7 linked regions of the Oryctolagus cuniculus genome follow. The protein of the gene in region 4 interacts with the protein of the main gene of each other region in a pairwise test. Links are inferred from orthologs where the notes say so. Each region holds a gene or a part of one and is shown on either strand. Other genes may lie near its edges. The genes, in order: STAT1, PTPN12, FRK, EGFR, MAPK8, RAF1 and CDK1.

What was found.
Region 1: the proteins of EGFR (region 4) and STAT1 interact in binary tests that used the Homo sapiens proteins (3 or more experiments, as listed by UniProt). The link is inferred for Oryctolagus cuniculus from reciprocal best matches to the Homo sapiens genes EGFR and STAT1.
Region 2: the proteins of EGFR (region 4) and PTPN12 interact in binary tests that used the Homo sapiens proteins (3 or more experiments, as listed by UniProt). The link is inferred for Oryctolagus cuniculus from reciprocal best matches to the Homo sapiens genes EGFR and PTPN12.
Region 3: the proteins of EGFR (region 4) and FRK interact in a protein complementation assay, tested with the Homo sapiens proteins (3 studies listed by BioGRID and IntAct, with this or other methods). The link is inferred for Oryctolagus cuniculus from reciprocal best matches to the Homo sapiens genes EGFR and FRK.
Region 5: the proteins of EGFR (region 4) and MAPK8 interact in a protein complementation assay, tested with the Homo sapiens proteins (3 studies listed by BioGRID and IntAct, with this or other methods). The link is inferred for Oryctolagus cuniculus from reciprocal best matches to the Homo sapiens genes EGFR and MAPK8.
Region 6: the proteins of EGFR (region 4) and RAF1 interact in a protein complementation assay, tested with the Homo sapiens proteins (3 studies listed by BioGRID and IntAct, with this or other methods). The link is inferred for Oryctolagus cuniculus from reciprocal best matches to the Homo sapiens genes EGFR and RAF1.
Region 7: the proteins of EGFR (region 4) and CDK1 interact in binary tests that used the Homo sapiens proteins (3 or more experiments, as listed by UniProt). The link is inferred for Oryctolagus cuniculus from reciprocal best matches to the Homo sapiens genes EGFR and CDK1.

What each region holds. Positions count from the first base shown.
Region 1 is NC_091434.1:49,297,924-49,301,423, reverse strand, and holds part of STAT1 (signal transducer and activator of transcription 1-alpha/beta), read right to left. Parts: intron 1,142-3,500; 5' UTR 1,141-1,141; coding exon 1,013-1,140; intron 1-1,012. UniProt on the Homo sapiens protein: Signal transducer and transcription activator that mediates cellular responses to interferons (IFNs), cytokine KITLG/SCF and other cytokines and other growth factors.
Region 2 is NC_091434.1:142,131,530-142,133,836, forward strand, and holds the end of PTPN12 (tyrosine-protein phosphatase non-receptor type 12), read left to right. Parts: intron 1-323; coding exon 324-431; intron 432-948; coding exon 949-1,010; 3' UTR 1,011-1,807; downstream 1,808-2,307. UniProt on the Homo sapiens protein: Dephosphorylates a range of proteins, and thereby regulates cellular signaling cascades. Dephosphorylates cellular tyrosine kinases, such as ERBB2 and PTK2B/PYK2, and thereby regulates signaling via ERBB2 and PTK2B/PYK2.
Region 3 is NC_091436.1:55,225,748-55,229,247, reverse strand, and holds part of FRK (tyrosine-protein kinase FRK), read right to left. Parts: intron 828-3,500; coding exon 662-827; intron 265-661; coding exon 53-264; 3' UTR 1-52. UniProt on the Homo sapiens protein: Non-receptor tyrosine-protein kinase that negatively regulates cell proliferation.
Region 4 is NC_091447.1:57,745,942-57,749,933, reverse strand, and holds the start of EGFR (epidermal growth factor receptor), read right to left. Parts: upstream 2,801-3,992; 5' UTR 2,607-2,800; coding exon 2,519-2,606; intron 1-2,518. UniProt on the Homo sapiens protein: Receptor tyrosine kinase binding ligands of the EGF family and activating several signaling cascades to convert extracellular cues into appropriate cellular responses.
Region 5 is NC_091446.1:81,393,328-81,396,827, reverse strand, and holds part of MAPK8 (mitogen-activated protein kinase 8), read right to left. Parts: intron 209-3,500; coding exon 150-208; intron 59-149; coding exon 1-58. UniProt on the Homo sapiens protein: Serine/threonine-protein kinase involved in various processes such as cell proliferation, differentiation, migration, transformation and programmed cell death.
Region 6 is NC_091441.1:114,678,497-114,681,280, reverse strand, and holds part of RAF1 (RAF proto-oncogene serine/threonine-protein kinase), read right to left. Parts: coding exon 2,687-2,784; intron 1,296-2,686; coding exon 1,249-1,295; intron 1-1,248. UniProt on the Homo sapiens protein: Serine/threonine-protein kinase that acts as a regulatory link between the membrane-associated Ras GTPases and the MAPK/ERK cascade, and this critical regulatory link functions as a switch determining cell fate decisions including proliferation, differentiation, apoptosis, survival and oncogenic transformation.
Region 7 is NC_091446.1:53,159,327-53,163,268, reverse strand, and holds the start of CDK1 (cyclin-dependent kinase 1), read right to left. Parts: upstream 2,801-3,942; 5' UTR 2,645-2,800; exon of another isoform or gene 2,447-2,644; intron 410-2,446; 5' UTR 385-409; coding exon 348-384; intron 1-347. UniProt on the Homo sapiens protein: Plays a key role in the control of the eukaryotic cell cycle by modulating the centrosome cycle as well as mitotic onset; promotes G2-M transition via association with multiple interphase cyclins.

The sequences.
Region 1 (3,500 bases), on a different chromosome or scaffold from region 4:
AGAGACAAACCCCAGTTTTTAAACTTTTATGTGACAGATGGAATCTCTGGTCATTGATGAGATTTATCTTTGTGTAAATTTAGCTCCAACTCATTTAATAAACAAATACATTTTTAAAATTTTTATATATATATATTTAAGTGATAAATAAAATTGTATGTAGTTGTAGTTATGGTGTACCAAGTAATATTTCAGTGTGTGCATTCATTGTGTAATGCTCACAATCAAGTATATCCATCTCCTCACACATTTATCACCTCTCCATGGCAAAACATTCAAAATCTTTTCTTCTAGGTTTTTTGTTATTAGAGTTCACAGTACATTATTACCTATAATCATCCCATTATGCAACAGAACACCAGGATTTATTACTCCTACCTAACTGACACTTAGTATCTGTTGGCCAGTCTCTGGTAACCACCATCCTATTCTCAACTTCCATGAGATCAGTTTTAGATGACACATATGAGCAAGATCATGGTATTTGTGTCTGGATTCTTTCATTTAATATCACTGTCCCCTAGTTCCATCTGGGTTATTGTAAATGACAGACTTCATTCCTTTCTACGGCTGAATAGTATTCCATCGTGTTTAGACACATTTTCTTTATCCATCCTTCAGTTGAGAAGTTTCCACTATTGTGAGTTATGCTGCAATAAAACATGAGACTGCAGGTATCTCTTCAGCAGACTAACTTCATTTTCAATTAGATATATATTCCTAGTAGTGGAATCATATTATGGTTCTATTTTTGATTTTTGGGGAATCTCCATACTGTTTTCCATAATGGCCATGCTAATTTACATTCCCACCAATGGTGCAAGGATTCCCTTTCTCCACATCCCCATGAGCATTTGCTGTCTTTGTCTTTTTGATCATAGCTATGGTAACCGGAGGGAGGCAGTATCCCACTGTGGCTTGGATCTGCATTTCCCTGATGACTAGGAACGTCTTGCACCAAGTACTTCTGGAGTGTAGATAGACGTGTTCCTGTCTAGTGAGTTCTCCTTACCAGTCCTGATTTTCTAGCCACTGTGCCAGGTACTGTCGAATTTCCATGGGAAAACTGTCATCATAGAGCTGGTGAACCTGCTCCAGGAATTTAGAGTCGAGCTGCTGAAGCTCATACCACTGAGACATCCTGCAGGAAGAGAGCAACGTGTCACAGACGGAAGACTGCAGCTCTAAAGAAAGCCTTCTTTCTTCACGCTCTTGTACACATCTTAACCCCATACACAATCTGTCTCTGAAATATATCATTTAAATGCCTATATTCTAAACCACGTTTTTTTAATTGAGTTTGAGGATCAACATTTTCTCCTTCTCCAGGAAACACATCTCCCGATCTTTGCTCAAATGTCAACACACAGCTTTCCCTCTCCACCGTATTTACATCACAACCGCCTCCTGCCTAAGAAACCACCCTCCACAGCATACACTGACCCACCAGGTACTTTATTATTTTGATTATGGTCTGATTTGACCACATGAAGGAAAAGATTTTAGGGGGAAGAGGACTTTGTCCCCTGTTTTATCTCCAGAGCACACATACGAAGTACTCATAAAGACTTTAAAATGAGCCGGGGCGGGCATTTGGTACAACAGTTAAGACAGTCCTTGGGACACCCGCACCCCACACCGGAGCGTCTGGATTGGAGCCCCAGCTTCCTACAAATGTGCGCCCTGGAAGGCAGCAGACGGTGACCCTGCCCCTCGTGCGGGAGACCTGCACTGTGTTTCAGGCTCCTGGTTTCAGCTAGGCCCAGCACTGACGGCTGCAGGCATGTGGGGAGTGAATCAGTGGATAGAGAATCTTTTTCTATGTCTGAGTTTCAGATAAGCAAATTGTAAAAAATATAAATAAATAAATAGCTGGTAAGTAAAATAAACATTTTAAATGAATCTGCCTTTTTAGCAAACAAAAAATGCAACACTTTATTTAGTTTTGCTTTATGATCACTGCAAAAGCTCTCCAAAAATCGTTCCCCAGCAAAATTACAGTACATGTGTGATTTACTCCAAGAACTTTTCACTCTCATTTTCTGCTCCATGGTTCCAGTGTGTCCCCTGGGGTTTCCTGCGTGTTGGCAGCTTGGTCCTCAGCATGATGATGTTGGGGGACCATATAGAACTTAAAAGAAGTGGGGCCTAGTGTAAGGCGATTGGGTCAGGGGTGCTTCCCTGAGAAGGAACTGATGCAATTCTCATGGGACTCTGGCTAGTTCCCCCAAGAGAATATAAAAATTAAATTAAGTTAAAAAAAAAAAAAAAAACCCAGCAGGGCTTTTCCCTCTTCAGTGTCTCTGGCTTTTTGTCTTGCCATGTGATTGCACCAGCTGCATGCACTCCCACCATGATGCCGTCCACCAAAATGTGCCAAGCCAGGGGCCATCACTGGAGCTGGCACCACATTGTTTCGACTTACCAGCCTTCAAAACCATGAGTTAAATAAACCTCCTTTCTTTATAAGTGACAGAGCCTTGATTGTTTTATCATGGCAATAGAAAACTAACCAACACATATGGTAAAATTATCTTCGTTATAACATCTTAGAAGTACATATGTTCTCTGCCTACAGCAAACGATAAAGCTGGCACAAAAGAAATCCTAGACCTCACTAATAATTTCTGAAGGCTCAAACATTATCAAATGTAATTCGAAGGGACAAAGTCACACTTATTTCTCTGGGTAACTGTTAAGTCAATTTTACTCTTCAATCTTAAAGAAGAAAAACTTCAACAAAAGCCTGATTAAGGAAGTCCTAAAATCCATTAGGACAATGAACAGCCTCACACGACCATTATATAATTTAGGATTTATAGCAGCCTTTGGCTAGCAACATTCAGAGTGGACACCAGTGAACCTTGTCCTGCCCGAGCCTGGGGGAAGGAGTGCACAGTTTCCAGAAAGGCATGGATCAGTGTGGATGCACACAGGTCCCTGAGTGTGCTAACGCCAGGCCTTGTCTACCCCACAAGTGACGACAGAGCTACTCACCTCACAAATACCAGCAGAAAGGGACCCGGGCCCACCCCATTTGCACACCTGCTGTGGCAATTTGATTTTTTGCTCCAGATGTATTTTACCTGAGCAGAAGTCTCCACACCTGAGGCTCTCTCCCTGCCTGCTAGGTGTCTACCAAGGATATCCCTAAAGCAAATATGTGGGCCTGGCCCCCGGTAGAGGCTGCAACCTCTTACTAGCCAAGTGAACCCTGGCAGCTTATTCCCTATCAACACGCTGGTTCTAGAGGCTGGGTGAGCTTGTACACCCACCACACCTGGCACAGAGCAGGGGAAGCAATAAATTCACATGAACAAACCCAGGCTCGATCTTATCTCCCTCAAAACCTGTTACCAAAGCAGAGTGGCATAACCATCCTCCAATTTCCTGGCCCAACCCCAAATTTGGGGCTGACACTTTCCTCTCTAGTCCCAAGATCTGCTGCCACCATGTTCCCAATCCAGCCTGTGCTGCACATGGATTTTTTTTTTTAACTT
Region 2 (2,307 bases), on a different chromosome or scaffold from region 4:
TGAGAAAACAATGGAAGATGGCCCAAACTACCTGGGCCTCTACACCCACATAGGAGACCTAGATGGAGTTCCAAGCTCCTGGCTTTGAACTGACCCAGCCATGGCCGTTGCAGCCATTTAGGGAGTGAACCAGCAGGTGGAAGATCTCTTTCTCTCTGTCTCTTCCTGTTTCTCTAGAACCCTGCATTTCAAATAAATAAAGGTATCTTAAGAAAAAGAAAGCAGAACTTGTAATGCACTGCCCACATTAAAACAATGCCAGAGTTTTGAGTGTGCTGCTGCTAAGGATGGTGATTAACAAGGGCTTTGTTTCTGCATTTTAGATCATCTATCAGCAAGTATTCACACAGAATCTTGTGCAGAATGTCCACCTATTTTCAGTGACAAGAAAGATCAAATATCAGAAAGTCCATCAGAAGCCACAGATATCGGTAATTTGTTTAACGAATAATTTTTAAAAAGCAAAGCATGCAAGAATGAAAAAAAGTCACTTGCCATTGTTTCAAGTTTTTCATAAAATTTTTGACTTTGCTCTACTCAGGTTCTAATATGGTGTTTGCCAAAAATAAAATATGTCTGATTAAACTTGCTTGGAATTAATCCTGAAAGAAGTGAAACACTTAATTCTATTTCACACTGTGATTAAAAATCAAACTATAAAAAAATCCTTTTTGTTGGAAAATCTATGTATCTTACATGCTTTTCTTGTGTCATAAGATTGGTTGTATTTTTAGCATGATGTTAAAAGTAGCAATTATTTTCAAAATAAATTTACAATTATAAGTGTTTACAATTGTTTTGCATCTACCTACCAAGTGTTATTTGGTTCAAATTCTAAATTCTCATATAAAAATTTCTTTGTTCCTGAAAATGATAATGTCCACAGACTTGGAGTGTGAAAGTTTTTTCAAACACCAATCAGTTATTGTGGTATCTTTTTTTCTGTAGGTTTTGGTAATCGCTGTGGAAGACCTAAAGGACCAAGAGATCCTCCTTCAGAATGGACATGATTCAGGGAGCTAAAAGACACTTTAAATTATACTGGAAAATCCAAGTGCCACCAAAAGCCAGATTTATAGTATTCCATCTTTCAAATGTGGGACTAACAGCAGTGTAGGTTGTTACCTTAATATTTTTTGCTGGGACCATCTACCTGCCTTATACTACACTTAGGAAAAAGTATTACATATGGTTTTATTTTGTAACTTCAAGTATTATTGCCTTAATGTCTTTTAACCCTGTTACAACGCTGCTTGTAGACATGTTAATATAGTAATACTTTTATGATAAATTGACTTTAAGGACTACTCTTTTGCTGTTTTATCATGTATGCATTATTTTGTATATGTACAGGGCAAGTAGGTATATAACTTGATAAAGTTGCAGTCATAAAATATTATTAACAGAAGATGTAAGAAATTTCTGCATGGTCTAAATCTTTGTGTACTTTATTTGTAAATTATTTGCCCTGAAGTTTTAGAAAATAGTTTCTGAATTTTAAAATTGCTGGATTCATGCAGCCAGCATTGCAGGTTATCAGAGATCAAAGATTGTAATAATACATTTTGTAAATTGTAAGCAAAAAGTTATTTTTATATTATATACTGTCTAATTGTTCATCTTAATTGTCCTTGTTTTCAACTAGTCATGGAGATTCAGTAAGTGCCTTGGAACAATATTGAAGTCTCTTAGCTTGTGTGTGTTACTTTAATATTTGAACTCAACTGGGATTAGAAGACTATCAGATTATATGTATGTTTCAGAATATTTGACCTGCCATTAAAACAACAAAAACAATTTTACAGTGCCTATGTGTTGTCTTGGTTTTTTCATTCCCTATTCTTGGGAATTTAGACTTAATATCGGCTTCTTTGCTGGCTTGGTCCTTGCGATAAATGTGAATGGACTTTAATTTCTTTGTGCCTCCTGCAAAACAAACATGGCTTTTATCCTTGAGCCAAACCATTTTCCTCCTTATCATTATTAACCCACCATCAAATGTCCTGATAGAACACCCACCAAAGTGTGGTTAGGAAAACAGAACTGTTTCTTCCTACCTCTGCATATTAAAAAAAAAAATGAGAGAGAGTAACCTTATATTAATAGAATGGCATTGTTTTAAAGAAAAAAATAATACTATAACTTTGTGTTAGAATATTATCAAAGTTAAATACTTGGCAATGCCAGCATCCCATGGGTATCAGTTCGAGTCCCGGCTGCTCCATTTCTATCTAACCTGCTGCCTGCTCATGGTCTGGGAAAAGCAATGGAAGATGGCCCAAGTGGTCAAGCCTCTGTCACCCACGT
Region 3 (3,500 bases), on a different chromosome or scaffold from region 4:
TGAATTGATTATTCCATTTTTTACTACTTCATTATTTGATGTTCTTCAGTGTTCAACTTATGAAGTTATTTGTATCTGAATATGAAGAGTCTGTTTCAAAATAGTCCTCAAGCTTCCAATGCAATGTCTCAAATGTCGGTCGTTCCTTTGGCTCTGCATTCCAGCACTCCAACATGATGTTGTAGAATTGCTCTGGACAGTTAGATGGTTGTGGGAGTCTATAGTTTTGACTCAACAACTGGATTACCTGAGCACCTGTCATGCCTAAAAAAATACAGAATTGAATCAAAAATAAGAAAAAAAGTTAAAGATCAAAGTCTTAAATTCATAGATTCCTATGAGTACTCTAGATTATAAAGCACATCATTTTCTTTCGCAGAGCTATGAGGTCTAATACCACCTTCCCAGGTTGCAGAGATTAAACTAAATCCTGAAGCAAGTAATGTCTATAAGACTGCAATTCAAGAGCAAAGGAGAAGGAAGCAATAAACCACCTCATTAATGCAAATTATCATCATCAAATTTTATCTTTCAGGCTCCCACAGGTACATGCTATGGTCAGCGTCATAACTCTGCCCTCTAAGTCTGGACAAAGCAGTTAAAGTCACACCTAAATAAGTGACCTGCAGCAGAAAGGCCCACTTCAGAATTAATTACTCACCACTATAAGGCATTTTGCCATAAGTAATGATTTCATAAAGAAGGATTCCAAATGACCACACATCGGACTTAATGCTGAATTTATTAGAACGAATGGCTTCAGGTGCAGTCCACTTCACCGGCAGCTTTATTTCATGTTTAGATTCATAGATATCTTCATTATCTACCTGTTAGTACATTAAGGAATCAAGCCAAGATAATGTGATGATTTTTTTTCTTGCTATTCTCATTCATTCACAACCTACTGCACATTAAAATTTAGTTCAATTGATAATTACAATAGTAAATTCTGAATCTGGCATACAATACCAAATTGATAAAATATTTGAGAGCCTACTGTGTGCTAAGAATAGCACTCACAGGAGCACTCTACAACATATGGCAGAGTTCTCACATGATAATCCTGGATTCATATCTAGTCTTTTCACAAATAAAAAAAAGGAAGCAGAGTCTGCTTTTTGATTTACCGCTGGTATTGAAGACCCTCTGACTTTGATAATTACCATGTAACCACTTGCTAATACTGAAAAGTAGAATCTAAATGATTTAAATTAATATATCAACTCACTGGTGTTCTAATTAATTTTAAAAAGATGATGAATTCATGATGATCAAAAGGGAATCATACTTGTGTTTCATGCCCCATATCCATATTTTTAGGGTACAATGTGGATTTCAAAATTAAATTCAGAGAAAAACCTCATATTGTGTCTCTCTATCAGTATGTTTTGGAAAGATATTACAAAATGGGCTGGAGAGAATGAAACAGTCTATACTTGCTTTGAGATTGTCAGCATGCATATAGCCTGGCATAAAGTGAGCCAAGGTGGATAGGGTAACTATAAAAATTGTAGTGCTTTTATAAAGAAAATAAAGGAAGACAAAGGATGGTACTAAGTGAAAACAGATCACTAATTCAACCATAAACAATAACATAATTTATAATACGGTTGCTTATGATTTCCTGTTTTCTTCTTTGTGGAAGAAATAAGGATTTTCTTAAAGAGAAATGGGAGGAGACTATGGCAGCCCATGTCATTAGTGATGTTGCCTGAGAGAGGACCTTGTGGACCACAAGCACTTTCAGTCTTCTCTGGAGCAATAGTGAGGGGCAGGGTGCCCACCTAAACCTATTATGTGAGAACACATTGCCTGCTTCCCATTCTTCTCCTCCCGTATAAGGGCTCCAGGCAAATAGCAGGGAGGAAGTGTCATTTTAAAAGATGAGTATAGGCTGCCTTGGCTTACTTACAGGTGATAGGGGACTTTATCTGAGGGATAATTCAGTGGTCTCCATTGACTTTGAGTCTGGGACAGAGGTTTGGCAGGGGGCAGAGAGCCCACTTAAGCCTGTAAGCACTTACCTCCCTCCATATCACTGATGCATGTACTCAAACTGCAAAGCAGAACACTGAAGGCATCTGGACCTGAGAAAATATCTCTCTCCAAGGACAGAGCAGCCTCATAGGGTTGAGAGTGGATTCCCTACTCCCTGTGACGGTAGGAGCCCTGTACTCTATGGCTTTAGGAGTTCTGCCACTGCACAATTGGGTGTGGAGTGTAGCTAGGTCTTTGGGTGATCTCTGTCTGGGTCCAGAGGTTCAGAGTTCCCTAACTGCTGAGGTAGGCTGCTGCAGAGGATTCAATGCTCACACTGAAAACCACAGAGATATTTTAAGTGTTTCTTGTGAATGCATGTGTGGGATGTGTAGCCACTGTGGGCTGGCCCTGGGCATTGATCACCTCAGCAAAGAGGAAGTGAGGCAATGATTCCAAATTTAGCATACCCTCCCCTTTACTGGCAATAAAGATCTACCATACACAACATAAATTTCAACCCGGACTTTAGAACCACCCCAAGCACTGACCAGAGCTCCCTGGCCCCACCCAGCACATGCCTCTGAAGATGCACTGAAGGAACATTCTACTGATTCACAGAACCAAAGATAAAGTCATCAGAGGAGAAAAACAAGCAGTTCCACAAATGTCTAAAAATAACAGTACAAACATGAGAAACACGAACAAGGAAGACAATATGCCTATCCCAAAGGAACACAACTCTTCAATATTAGAATGTGAAGATGAAGAGATTGGTGACATGCATCAGGTCATTTCAGGGTATGCCTGAAAAGGAACTTGGAAAACCAATCAAAATATTACTCAAAACAAGTAAGAAGCAAATTCATGACTAAAATAAATTCCGACATGACATGGAAAAAAATTTCCCATGAGATGGAGATATTGAAGAGAAATTGAATTGAAATATTAGAAATTAAGAATTCAATGTGTCAAATAAAAATACATTGGGAATCCTTAACAACAAATTTGATGAGGCAGAAAAAAGAATATCTGAGCTTGAAGACAAACCTTTGGAAATATCTCAGTCAGGCAAAGAAAAAATGAGAAAAATTGAAAACAGCACTCAAGTTTTATGTGTTAATATAAAACAATCTAACATATATGTCTTAGGAGTTCCTGAAAGGTGTAGAAAAATAGAACATATTAGAATACATATTCAGTGAAATAATAACAGAAAATACCCCTAATTTGAAGAAGAAAGGCACATCCAAATATGAAACTCACAGAACTCATAATAGACTTGATTAGAAAAGGTCTTCACCATGAAGCACTGTTTCAAGCTTTTAACAGTAAGGCATAAAGAAACGATTCTAAAATGTGCACAAGAGTAATGCCAGATTACCTTCAGAGGATCTCCATTCAGATTGACAGCTGATTTCTCATCAGAAACCCTACAGGCTAGGAGAGAATGGCAAGATATATTCCAAGTCTTAAGAGAAAAAAAAAAAACTGTCAACCCAGATACTATACCCTGCAAAGCT
Region 4 (3,992 bases):
ATTTTGGCAGCTGGCTTCTTCAAACACCAGAGAAAGGTTTGTGAAAAACGATGGATTATGAAACCAAATGCATGAAGCCAGAAATGACTGTTCAGAGCCGGCTGGAGCTATCACCAGGTTTCTGCCTGTCTGTGCGATAGACAAGACTCTGAAAGAGTAAAAAGGAAATTTACTAGTATTTAGCGACTTGCAGAATCCCATTTCCAGTAGCTGTCATAACTCTCCTCCCTTTTAACTCATGATACCAGGCACGCACAGTGAATACTGAATTCACAAATACTGAACTCAGAAAGGGGATCGAGAAGCTTGGCGCTTGGATGTGACCTGTTCACCTCCACCCGCAGCTGGAGTGAGAAGACAAGGCCGGCTGCCAGGCCAGCCGGGGCATCCCATCCTTCGTCTTGGATTCCCTACCACCTCTGCTTTGGTTTCTCTTTAACACGGCCCAGGCCCACTGAACCAGGGGTGGCCAGGCTCATCCCCACAAGAAGCTTGTGGCTGAGAATTCCTGAGCTCCTGGGAACACCCCAGGACCTCCTCCTCAGCAGTGCCTTCCCTGGAGCGAGGATCCAGGCCTTGTTCAACTCCCCTAGCAAGCTTGGCTCAGGGATTTGGTGACAGAGCTGTCCCCACCAGGCTGAGGAACCCTGAGGAGAGCAGACCACTGGTTAGCAGGGTGTGTTTGCAGCCTCAGGAGGGGAGCCCAACTTGATGAGCCGTTCCTGGTACTTTTCCTCTGTGCTGCAAGTGAGGTGAGTCAGCCGCGTACACCTGACCTGGCTCCCCACACCTGGGCTGCAGAAGGCAGTGGCGTCTCAGCCCTGACCCTGCCTCTTGTGAGCGGTGGGGAAATCGATCTTCTCCTGCAGGGCGGGAAAATGAGGAAGGAGGTGAGGACGCAGGAGCCAGGTCTGGTTGTTAGATCTGAGGGCAGCCAATACCGGTTTCCTAGCTGAGACCCAAAAAACCCTCACCAATTCTCCTGGAATGGAATTGGCACGTGATTGACATGGGTCCTTAACAACTTCTATAGGAAGATTATGCCTCGCAGTTTTAGTAATTAGATCCTCGCCAGTCTCTCTGCCTCATGTTAACGGAGCGTGCGCGCCCTTTCTCACCACAGCACTGGCGAACACAGGGCAAACAAGAAACAAATCTCCCACCACGGCGGCAGCGGGGAGGCAGCCCCACTTAGGAGCTGGGCGCACTTCTGGGGTGAGAAGGCACTGAGCACTCGGTGTACCGGAGCCGCGCACCGGGGGCCTCAGAGCCCCCTTGGCCAAGCCCTGCCTTCGCGGCGCTCTGCGAGAGCTGCGCAGATTGGGGGAAGCTCCACGGCTAGCGGGTGAGCCTTCTGGACACTTCGCCCTTCTTTCCTCCACGCCAGGACTCGCAAGCCTGCCCGAGCTGTTAAAACCCAAGGCCGGCTCTCACCCCACACCAATTAAATCGGGGTATCCGTGAGCGGGAGCCGGACGTGGTCCTCGCTTCCTCTCCCCCGCCTCAACCTCCCCTCGCCCTCTCCCCTCTTTTCCAGTTCGTTGTTTATTACTATTTTCGTTTTTCAGTCCCAGGTGATTCCCACCTGCAGCGAAGTTTGGGGCCGCCGCAGCACCCCTGGCCCGCAGACGCGCCCGGCGCCAGAGCCCAGACCCGAGGCCGATGACATCAACGGCAAGCAGGGACCTGACTCTCTCGGAAGCCGGCCCAGCCGGGGATTGTGCAACGCGGCCTCCCGCGGCGGGCGTCTCGCGGCGAGGCCCACTCCGCGGGGCCTTCGCGCACGTGGGGCCCGGACCGCATCCTTTCCTGGTTTTGATACAGTTTAATATTTTGGTTGGCCCAATATCAAACTTTTCAGAAAGCAAAAGGAAACGCCAAAAAGGAGAAAATCTTGGGACTTTGAGAAAACCGTGGGGGACGCGCAGGGCGGGCTCGGAGCCGAGACCCGCCGCCCAGCCAGTCCTGCGGAGCAAGCACGCAGGTGGGGGCCGGGTTCGCCGCGCCGCCAAGCACCTGGCCCGGCCGCACCCGGCCGCTCGGCGCGGGGCGGGGACTGCGCGCCAGGGGCGTGCCGGACAGGACCCCAGCCCCAGTTCCCCGCGCCGTCCCGGCCCAGCAGCCTCGCGTGGTGGGCGACAGGAGTCCTCCAGCCCCCGCTCCGGCCGCAGCCCCTCACGCGGGAAGGGCTCGCGGGGCCTCTGGTTGCAGCCCGGGACCGGGTGGGGCCGGCGCGGGGAGGGTGCGCTCGGGAAGCGCCAGTCCCGGAAGGTGCGCGCAGCTCCCGGATCCAACCTAAACTCCCAGGGCCGCGGGTGGGACGCACCGCCCATGGGTGCGCGGACTGCGCGGGGCGCACGTGCCGGGTATGGAGCAGCTTGGGCAGCGCTCGGCGCCGGAGCTCCCCTGGTGCGACTCGCGCAGCCCAGGAGCTAGACGTCCAGAGCGGTTTCAGCCCGAGGGTCCTCACGGAAGTCGGGAAGACCGCGGCGCGGTGTGGTGCGGGTCGCGCCCTTACCTCTCTTCTCCTCCAGCGCCTGTCCCGCCTGCAGGAGCGCGGCCAGCAGCGCCAGGAGCGCGGGCCCGACCGGCCCCGAGGGTCGCATCGCTGCCGCTGCGCGCTCAACTGTGCGGTCGGTTCGGAAGGGCGTCGGGCTCCGTGCGCGGGGCAGACGCGGGCGCCTGAGTCCCGCCTGGGTCCGGCCTGGGACGCCCGCGCCTGGCCTCGGGGACTCCGGGCGGCGGGTGAGGAGCGGCTGCCGCGCTGCGCCGAGCTGCCCAGACGTCTGCCGGGCGGCGGGCGTGGGGAGGCGGCGGGAGGAGGGCCCAGCGGAGGAGGAGGGGTCGGAGGCGCGGAGGAGGAGGAGAATGCGAGCGGGAGGAAGAGCGGCGAGCGGAGGCGTGGACGCCGCGGCCCCGCGGGACCTGGCGCCGGGAGCGAGTTCCCGAGAGGGGCGTTCCGCGCGCCGCGACCCCAGGCCGGGTCGGTTCCCAGCGCGGGGCGCAGCCGGGCCTGGTCCCCTCACCGGCCCCTTCTGTAGACGGAGCCACCTGGAGCAGGCTCCGGACAAACCGGCTGAGCCCGAGGGCCGAGGTGGGTGACCACGCAGAGGGGCCGCTGGGGCCCCGGGGCAAGAGTCCCCAGCAGAGCCAGACCCAGACGGGCGGCTGGGGCCCCTAGGGGCCCCCTGAGCGCCCTCGAAGTCGTTGGGAACGAGCGCGCTCGGCTCCCCGCTGGGAGAGCGGCTTTCCTTTGCGTTCCTTGAGTGAATGCGTGAGGTCCCGGTGCGCCCACGGCCTCCACTGTGCCAGGGACTGGCTCCGGGAGCGAGGGCCGAGGATGTCGGTCGCGCACAGCACCGCAGACGCCAGCAAGAGTCACTGAGGATTTGGCCACAGGAAGTGGAGCTTCCTGGAGCTGCGGGGACTTTCTCTGAACCCTTGGGCCGAGGGCACCCCGCCTCGGCTCCAGGGCTTCTTCAGCGCTTCCCTGCTCTGCGGGTTTGCGCCCCGCCCGGCCGCGGGAAAGGTGGGGTTTGCGGGGAACCAGAGTGAGCGGCTGGCTTGTTCTTTGTTCTGAGGAATCGCGGCTGCCCCGGGTGAGCAAGGCTGTGAAGTCCACAGCCAGCCGTGTGTTTGGTTCCCAGCCCACATTCCAAACCAGAAGACTTAGAGCAGGCTGCAAAGAAACGCAAATACAAAAGCTAGAGACAAAAGCTAGAAGAGGAGCCAGGAAACAGAAGGGCACCCGTGATCCTGCGTTCCGCTACAGGAGCCACGGACGAACCCTAGGCACACTCGCTGCCCGCCAGGATGATTGGTGGCACAAATCGTGGTGTCCATGTGACCCTCGACTGACTTTTAAAAGTGCAGCGATTTATCCTGAGTACCCCAAAAAAAGACAAAGTGTGAGACCTTCTGGGCCCCCACCACATTCCTCCGTGGTGCTGGGGAGAGCTCTTCCAGGAACGGTGGCAGAAGTCCGTGGAAAC
Region 5 (3,500 bases), on a different chromosome or scaffold from region 4:
TAGTTCCATCTGAATCACTTGGCAAAGATTCGCATCCATGAGCTCCATGACTATGTAACTTCATGGGTGGAAAAAGATGACAGCTAAAGTGTACAAATCAATCTAAGAATAATGTACTAACATAATACAATTTTAATTGACACACTTACACATCTTGAAATTCTTCTAGAGATTTCTGTGGTGTAAAAACATTCAAAAGGCCAATTATCTGTGGAGAAAACAAACAGAAAAATTAGAAACCACTTCATAACATTTTCATTTGCAAACTGCAAATACAGTTTTATAAAAAGCCACCACTATAATCACTAAAATTTTATAAGCTCAAGTAACCTTTTATTTTTAAATACCTATTTATTTTTATTGATTTGAAAGGCAGAGAGAGTGCTATATTTGATCCCCTAGTTCACTCCCACAATGTCAGGCTGAAGACAGGAGCTACCAGGCTCCCATGTGAGTGGCTGGGACTCAACGACTTGGGGTTGTGAATTAGCAGGGAGCCAGATTAGAAGAAGAGTGACAGAGTAGCCAAGACTCAAACCATGCACTCTGGTATGGGATGTGGGTGTCTCGTGTGGCAGTTTAATCTGCTGTACCACAACACCCACCCTTCTTTTATTTTATACACTAAAACATTCACGGCTAGGGGAGGGGAGTGGGGAAGGAAGAAATGAAAAAGCAGACAATACCATAGAGGTGAATACCTCATTTTATGTTGGTTCAAATCATAAAATATGCCCCATCAAGAATGAACCCTAGCATGAGCTGCAGACTCTGATACAGTGTCAGGGAGGATCAGCTGTAACACACACACCACTCTGGTGGGGGGTGCCGATTCTTTGGGAGACTGTGCATGCTGGGGAGCAGGGGAGACACGGACACTCTCTGTATGTTCCTCTCAATTTTGTTGTGAAGCTAAAACTGCTCTAAAATGCTTTTTAAAAAACCTTATCAACATCATAATTTCATATAACCCATTCCATTTATAAACACACAAGTGTCAAGCACTTACATTACACAAACCTCTACACAGTTTTCAGTAAATCTTAAAAACCCGCTGCAGCTCTTCAACCAGCAGATCTGTGTCCTCGGTGTATGTCTGAAACCACAGACGGTGTGGAACCCTATACTATTCTTTTTCCTATCTATACATGTCTATCATGAAGCTTAACTTGCAAATTAGACACACTAAGAGCCTAAAACAATAACTATTAATAAAACGGAACCATGAATTTAATAAAGTATATTAAAACACTTATGTCAGTGTGGTTCCTTAAAATATTTATTGTATTACACTCGTCTTTTTCTTTTCAAAGATTTATTATTAATTGGGACCAGCACTGTGGCACAGTAGGTTAAGACTCTGCCTGCGGTGCTGGCATCCCATATGGGCACCAGTTTGTGTCCTGGCTGCTTCTTTTCCAATCCAGCTCCCTGCCTATAGCCTGGGAAAGCAGTGGAAGATGGCTCAAGTGTTTGGGCCCCTTCACTCACGTGGAGAATCCGGAGGCAGTTTCTGGCTTCTGGCTATGGATCGGCCCAGCTCTGGCTGTTTATGGCCATTTGGGAAGTGAACCAGTGAATGAAGACCTGTCTCTTTCTCCCTCTGTTTGTAACTCTCTCAAATAAAATGAATAAATCTTAAAAAAAAAAAATTTTGTTCATTTGAGACACAGAGTGACACAGAGAGAGGGAGAGACAAAGAAAGAGGGAGATCTTCCATCTACTAGCTCACTTCCAAATGGCTGCAATGGCTGGGTCTGGGCTGAGCCAAAACCAGGAGTCAGGAACTTCACCCTGGTCTTCCACGTGGGTGGCAGGTGTCTAAGGACTTGGGCCGTCTTCCACTGCTTTCCCAGGCATATTGGCAAGGAGCTGGATCAGAAGTAGAGCAGCCGGGACTGGAACCAGTGCTCATATGGGTTGGTATTCCACACAGCAGCTTAACTTTCTGAGCCACAGTGCCGGCCCCTCACCTTCCTGTTTGTGATGTGAAACAGTACGATGTCCATGTGATGAGATGAGATGAGGAAACTGACAAAGGCACTGTGACACTGTATTAGGCTACTACCTAGTGAACAGAAACACTGTGACACGATGACAGTGAACGGACAACTGAAATGGCTACTTAAGGACTAAGAGGCATACGGCATAGTCACAATGCACAAAGGGAGGATTCATGTCTGGTATCAAACACACCAGGACAGTGCGAGATTTCATAACTGTTCTTAGAATAGCACACAATTTAAAACTTGCAAATTTTTATTTCTGAAATTTTCCACATAATATTCTTGGGCCACAAGGACTGTTGAGTACCTGAAATTGTGAAAAGCAAAACCACAGATGGAGGGAACTACTGTAATCTTGGCATTTTCCTCCCCTTGCTCTTCATAATACTGTTCCTGTTCCATTTTCTTTGTTCCAAGGTCTATTTCCCTGGTTCATCCTCACGCATACTCTCTCCCACTACTGTCTTTAATCCTGTTCTGGCTGGGCCCTTTCCCTGCACATCTTTTTCTCCAAACATCTCCATATGGATAATTCCCGAATATGCATCTGGAGTCTTTGCTTAGCTGCTGCTTCTTTGTTTTTTAAAGATTTATTTATTTATTTGAAAGGCAGAGTTAGAGAGGCAGAGGCAGAGGGGTGTGTCTTCCATCCGCTGTTTCACTCCCCAAATGGCTGCAACAGCTGGAGCTGGGCCGACCAGAAGCCTGGCGCTTCTTTCAGGTCTTCCACGGGGGTACAGGAGCCTGAGCATTTGGGCCACCTTCCGCTGCTTTCTCAGGCACATTAGCAGGGAGCTGGATCAGAAGTGGAGCAGCTGGGATTTGCACCAAGGCCCATATGGGATGCGGGCACTGCAGGTGGTGGCTTTACCTGCTACATTACAGTGCCTGCCCCTTTGCTTAGCTTCTGAGTGCCAGATATACATTGCTAGTTTACATGGATGTCTCACAAAATACATAATTTACTCATTCATTCCTATTCAAACCCTTCACTATTCCAGTGTGTCCTCTCTTTTATAATAGAAGGCTTGGTGATTTTTAACTCCTTTTTCAGTATCCTGCACCATAACAAATATTCCAAGGAATGCTATTTACTCTACCATCAGCCTCAATTTCAATCTCTGTTTTCTAATGCCTAGGCTACCATACAGGCCGAGGATTCTAACATCTCCTTTACACTGTTCATACTATAATTGCTCTAACACCAGTGTCAGATTGAAGGGTTATCTTCCCCCAGATTCCTACACTGAGGTCCTATCTCCCAGCATAACAATGACTGGAGATGGGGCCTCTGACAGATGATTGTTCGGATGAATTTATGGAAGTAGGCCCTCTAAGTGGGATTAGTGGCCTTCTGAGAGAGATCTTTCTTTTTTTCTATAAGCACTCAGCAAGCAAAGGCCACATGAGCACAAAGTGAGAAGATGGCCGCTGCAAGTCAGAGAGAGAGCTTTTACTAGGAAGCTTCATGCTGAACAGCCCCAAAACTGAGAA
Region 6 (2,784 bases), on a different chromosome or scaffold from region 4:
CGTGCCTGCATTCTGTCCCCAAAGGATCAAATGAAATGTGAGTGTTAACAAAAAGAGCAAGTCCCTTACTGAATGTCGTCGTCACATTTCTCATCGGAATACGGAGCACGTGGTGACTTTGAAATTCAAACCACACTTGCTCCCTAACGGGTGCTCCTGTGACCTGCGGGTGCCAGGAGCTTATTCCCCAAACGTGTGGGAACTGCTTTCATGGTCAAGTTTGGCTGCCAGAAACACCCCATGTCTCACAGCTAACATAGGCCATGTCTCATGTTGTGACAACACAACCCCTACGCCTCTAGTTGGCCAAGAAGCCAAGAGCTGGGGAGGGTGGTGGACTTTACTGTTCAAAGTTATTCTCTGTAGCATGAAAAACACCTCTCTCCATGCTCCGTTCTATAAAAACACCTGGCAGAGACCACGGGTCTCCTCTAAAGAAACCGCCTCTGGATGTTGAAAACAGACAGCTGAATAATTTTGGCCATCTTGCAACTTTTAGCTCATAGCTGCTTTCTGACCAGATATACACTGTCCACCAACTAGAAATAAAATAAAGACAAAAGCCCAGTTAAATTTAGCAATAAACAGTATAATACTAGATTTTTTCAAGTTTAACCCAAACACGTATCTCAACTTGTGAGAATCTTTCCAGAGCAGACTTTCCCTCGGCATCACTCTGGGCACACCAAGGTACACCCTAACATTTCGTTTTTCGAAAGAAATTTCTTCCTGTCTTTTGCCTCTTTTTGTAATTAAAAAAAGAAAAAGAAAAAAGAAATCCCCTGCTCCAGGAGCCACTGGTGATCCAAAGGCTCCTGTTTCCCTACTTTAGAACTGAAGAGCTAGGGCTGGCATTGTGCCACAGCAGGTTAAAGCCCTGGCCTGCCACGCCAACATCCCATGTGGGTACTAGTTCAAGGCTCAGCTGCTCCACTTCCAATCCAGCTCTGTGCTGTGGCCTGAGAAAGCAGCGAAGGATGGCCCAAGTCCTTGGGGCTCTGCACCCACATAGGAAACCCAGAAGGAGCTCCCTGCTCCTGGCTTTGGATCAGCCCAGCTCTGGCTGTTACAGCAGATTTGGGGAGTGAACCCATGGATGGAAGACCTCTCTCTCTCTCTCTCTCTCTCTCCCTCCCTCTCTCTGTGTCTACTTCTCTCTGTAGCTCTGTGTTTCAGATAAATAAATCTCTAAAAACACAAACAAACAAAAACTGACACATCAAACTAAACCCAGCAACCAAAGGATACTGTTGGATTTCATGTCTCTGTGAATGATATTCTTTGCATGCAAGTAGCTGTGAAAGGAAAATAAATTTTTAAAAGCAGTTTGTGGGACGTGGGTAGAAAGCCATTTCTAACTGCAGCTTAAGAGGCAAAGCCACTGGAAAGCTTGCAGGTCCCCAGGGAGGTGTCACTACAGGCCCTGGTCCTGTGCCAGCTCAGCCCAATCCACACCTCGAAGGTGAGGCCACCGTACAGACGCGCTCGGACTCCTCTAAAGCACCAGTTTGACTCAGGTAGTTCTGACAAGCCCAGAAAGGAAGCCGTCACTGACGTGGCTCCACCAACCATGTACGCAGCTGTGTATCTCCAAGCGAGATCTCCAGATCCACTTACAGGAAATGCACGACAGGTAAGATCCACAGAGACGAGCCAGACTGTCGGCTGGGGATGACTGCTGAGGGTACAGCTTTCTGGGCTGATGAAAATATTCTCAAGTGCGCGACGATGGCTACACAGCTCTCCATTTAGTGTAAAACCACAGAGCTGTATACTTCTTCAAAGGGTGAGTTTTATGGTATGTGAATTATGGTCCAAGTATATTTTCTCTAAAGTAATCCCGGCGAGTTATTTCTTAAGAGATACTGGAGGCAGAGGCTGGTGCAGCAGGCTAAGCTGCTGCTGGCAATGCTGGCATCCTCTAGAGGAGGGCAGGTTCAAGTCCCAGCTGTCCCCCTCCAGATCCAGCTCCCTGCTAATACGCCTGGGAGACCCAGTGGAGTTCCGGACTGCTGTGGCCATTGGGGGAACGACCCCAGAAATGGACGATCTGTCTCTCCCTCTCTTACTCTGCCTTAATACATACATAAGTAAATAAGTCTTTAAAAACATATGCAGAGAAGGCAGCTTCCCTCTGAATTTTAAACTACAACGTGGGAATCTGTGAGCCCCGCAAGCGCCGGTGCTGACCGGCTCAGGCCTCTGTGCACAGGAATCCCTGCAGAGCTCTGTGACGCGCTGGCGGGGCGGCCAGGGAAGCACACGCTCGTGCACGTGCACATGGCTCCCACTCAAGCATGGGTCCTGCAGCACAGAGGGGGCAGGCAAGCCCTTCACTGCTTCTCTACAAGGAAGAGAACCTAGAAAGTGACACCCGCTCAAACCCGCCTGTGGGAGGGCCGTGCCCCAGACGCGCAGCAGGGACCTGGCACACTGCCCCGGCAGGAGGGACGCGCCCCCGCACGTTCTCAGTCTCAGGCTGAAACACAGGTAACAGCAAGAGCCCGAACGTGCGCCTCCAGGAGGCAGCCTAGCTTAGGTGAGGAACCCGAACTTCTCACTCCTGGTCACTCCAGCCCAGGGACCGTTTTCAGTTGTGCGCGGTCGTTGCAGAATCACTTGTGGCCTTAGAAGGCTTTTCTGACTCTGGGACAAGTGAATGCTTGGCACCAGGCCATCTACTCACTCCATGCCTTGTGCTGTCTGGCGGGCGATGTCAATTAACTGGAACATCTGGAACTTGGTCTCCTGGACGTGCAGATGTTTATAGAGGCTGCTGCCCTC
Region 7 (3,942 bases), on a different chromosome or scaffold from region 4:
CAACCATCTTGTGAGTACAATCATCTCCATTTGCAGGGGCAGAAACTGAGATCCAAGGACTTAACACTATCATAGTGTCTGAAAGAAAAGGGGTCTTGTGACTCCACTAAATGCCTGTAACATTAAATTTAAGATCATATTTTAACTGCTGTTTTTTCAGTATCAGAAATATGTAAGATTACAGAAGGAACGGAAAGGAAGGCCATCAGAGTATAATTTCAATTCTCTTTAACTGTTAATAGTAAAGAACATATACCACTGCACATTATTCCAATATTTACATGTCTCCATGATATAAATGATCATTTTTCTATTTTTAAAAAACCTGTATTTTTAAAATCACTCACCTTCTCCAATTTTCTCGATTTTGGTATAATCCTCCATAGTTAATCAGTAGGTATGGTAGATCCTAAAATGAGAGGAAAAATAGCTTTGATTATATGGCAATAACTCAAAGGTATAGTGCTTCCTGCAATGTATAGTTAAGTACTATAAACATTAGTTATTATGTTAAAATATTTACAAAGGTAAAGAAAAAGACTCCTGGAATAAGACTTTCCCATCTTGGGGCCGGCACTATGGCACAGTGGGTTAAAGCATCCCATATGGGCACTGGTTCTAGTCCCAGTTGCTCCTCTTCCAGTCCAGCTCTCTGCTATGGCCTGGGAGGGCAGTGGAGGATGGCCCAGGTGCTTGGGCCCTGCACCCGCATGGGAGACCTGGAGTAAGTTTCTGGCTCTGGATCAGCGCAGCTCCAGCCGTAGCGGCCATCTGGGGAGTGAACCAGCGGATATAAGACCTCTCTCTCTGTCTCTACCTCTCTCTGTAACTCTCTTTCAAGTAAATAAAAAAAATTAAAAAAAAAAGATTTTCCCATCCTTCTTAGCTCTAAAACATCGGAAATGCATATATTCCATGCTGATATTAGTATTTAAAATCTTCCAATCAAATTAATCCAAATTCAGACATCAACTTATTTACTCTTCTCAAACAAAAACCAGAATGTTTTTACAGTAGTACCAGTGTATAATGGGATTACACACAAATATTTCAACAAATGTTAAATGACTGAATTTGTACAGCTTTTGGGTGTTTTTACAAAGATGCTTCAAAACAAACTTTTTTTTAAAGTCATAAGAAGGAACTAAAATGGGGTGAGGTTATTTACCCATTAAGTTTTGTTTAAAGCTTTTAAAAAACATCTGTTTACACTTGCAAATAACAATCTTTCTCCTTTGTTTTCAGCAAACATGTGAGTTTGCATATATATATATTTTTTCCAAGAGAGGAAAATATATATATATATATTTGCAGAAGTAGGAAATAGCAGAGATACAAGAAAATGAAATTCCACAGTTCTAATGATCATAAAAGCTAGCAACTAATCCCTTAAGAAGTTCCATTTCTCATATTCATTGGCAAAGAAAAATCAATCCAAGAAGCGGTTTCGAAAAAAATTTTTAAACGAGCAGAGCTGCACTCCCGTGGTCATGAGTGCCACTCTTAGCCATTTATAATTTTACAAAATGGCAGTGGACGCTTCTCTTTGTCCTCAATGACCAGATTGAACATACCCACAGCACACAACTGAACTCGTTTGAACAAGTAGCTAAAAATCAACTCAAAGTTGGGCTCAATTACTCTCCCACCATTACCCAGTTATAATAATTATAATAAAGGAAGCTGCCCTGTATGCCTTTCGAATGTCTCCTGGGGCTCTGTACTACCAGCTGCAGATGTAAAAAAAAAAAATAAAATAAAATCAACGGTGACCCCCCCCCCACCTCCCTACCCAGAGACCTCCAGGTCTCAGGATATAAGAAGTGCACGGCGCAAACTGGCACTGGATTTTAAGAAACGACTCGTACTTATTAAAATGCAAAACGTGTTAATTTGCTCGGCATTTCTCAGCTTTCCGCTTTTTGCCAGCTCCACAATTAAAAAAAATAAATAAATAAAACCTCAGCCTTGTGCCTTAGCGTTCTTAAAAGCGCTGGGAGCGCGAGGGTCGCAGGCAGAGCCCAGCCCGGCCCGACAGGGCCGGGTTCACGCAGTCGCCTCACTCGCGGGAGTCTGCGCGTGTGAACTCGCTGGGTGCGCACCTGGCCCAGGTGCGGGCGGCTTCCCATCCCCCCGCCGGAAGCGGAGCGCGCGGGGCGCGGGGCCTGCGGCTGCGCCTGCCAGGCGGCGGGGGCTCAGCGTGCTCGACCCAACGCCTGGCTTTCTGCCTCCATCACCGCCCAGAGCCGTCTCAAGCGGGGTCGGCCACCCCCGCGGGCCGACTACGAGGCCGAGGGCAGCCCCAGCCCTCCCCAGGTAACCGCGCACGGAGGGGCGCCCCCCGGCCCCTCCGAAACCCAAGCCCCGGGCCGGGCTGAGCGCCCAGCCTGGCCCTGCACCCACCCCGGATCCCCAGCCTCCCCGAGAGCATGCCCTCCCTCCGTACTCGCCGCCCAAGGGAGACCCCAGGCCGGCCCCTGGAGAGAGGACGCCCGGCAGGCACGACCCCCGCCGCCCTGCAGTAACTCTACCCGGCTTGTTCTCTCCGCGGCGGCCGCGGCGCCAGATAACCACGTCCGCGAAGCTCTAAGCTCAACTTGCCAGAGCCAGCTTTGAAACTAAGTGCGAGCAGTTTCAAACTCACCGCGCTAAAGGGACCCAGACCCACCAATCACAGGGCTCGTAGACTTTCAAAGACACCAATCAGAGGCCGGCTGGGCTTGGGAGGGGCTTCCCGGGTAGCCAGAGCGCGAAAGAAAGAGGAAACGGCGGCTGGAAAAAAAGCAGGAGGGCGGGCGCCAACTGAATCAGAACGCAGGCGCCCTCTTGCATTCCAGGAAGGCGTCGTCCTCCTGTTTCTAGTCATCGGGAATGGATCGTTCGTTCTGTTTTGATTCTCTCCCTGTCTCGAGCAGTTTAACTTGATGGCACTCAAACAGCTCATCACACAAGTGAAACTGCACTTACATCGAGTTGCCAGAACTTCTAATACTTAGGGGTAGTGTATACTTAGGTTTTTCTAAGTGAGTGATGTGATTTCCAGGCTAGGCCAAAGGAGCATATTTACTAAAGAAATAATGAGAAACTCTCATGTCCACGAAAATGTCCACCAAAGTGTAAACAAAAATTTCCGATTTTAAATTTATATGCGTATGCATACATAGCTGTGGTTGTTTTTGACTCATCTATGAAACTTTTGAACTTACAGTTTTTTACCTAAATGTTTACGTAATGAAAACAATTTTAATTTGTTTTATTTGAGAAGGAGGGTTGGGGAGAGAGAGATCCTCCATCTGCGAGCCAGGAACTCAATCGGGTCTCCCACATCCATGGCAGGGGCCCAAGTACTTGAACCATATCTGTGACCCACCACAATTACATTAGCAGGAATTGGAAAGAGCAGAACAGGGACTGGGACCCAGGAACTCCCACGTGGAATGCAGGCATTTTAACTTCTGTGCCAAACACTGCCCCTATTTATTAGAAATTTAACAAAATTTTAATGTTTGAAATTTTCACAACAGAATTGTATACATTCTTTGTTTTTAAAAAAGATTTATTTATTTGAAAGGCAGAGTTACAGAGAGAGGAGAGATAGAGAAGAGAGATCTTCCATCCAGAGATTCACTCCCCAAATGGCCGCAGTGGCCAGGCCAATCCAGGAGCCAGGAGCTTATTCTGGGTCTCCCACATTGTGTACAGGGGCCCTAGGACCTGGGCCATCCTCTGTTGCTTTCCCGGGTGCATTAGCAGGGAGCTGGAGAGGAAGTGGAGCAGCTGGGACTAGAACTGATGCCCATATGGGATGCTGGCACTGCAGGCTGTGACTTTAACTCACTGTGCCACAGCCCCAACCCCCTTAAACATTCTTTTTTTTTTTTTTTAAGAATTATTTTATTTATTTGAAAGAGTTACAGAGAGAGGTAGAGACAGAGAGGTCTT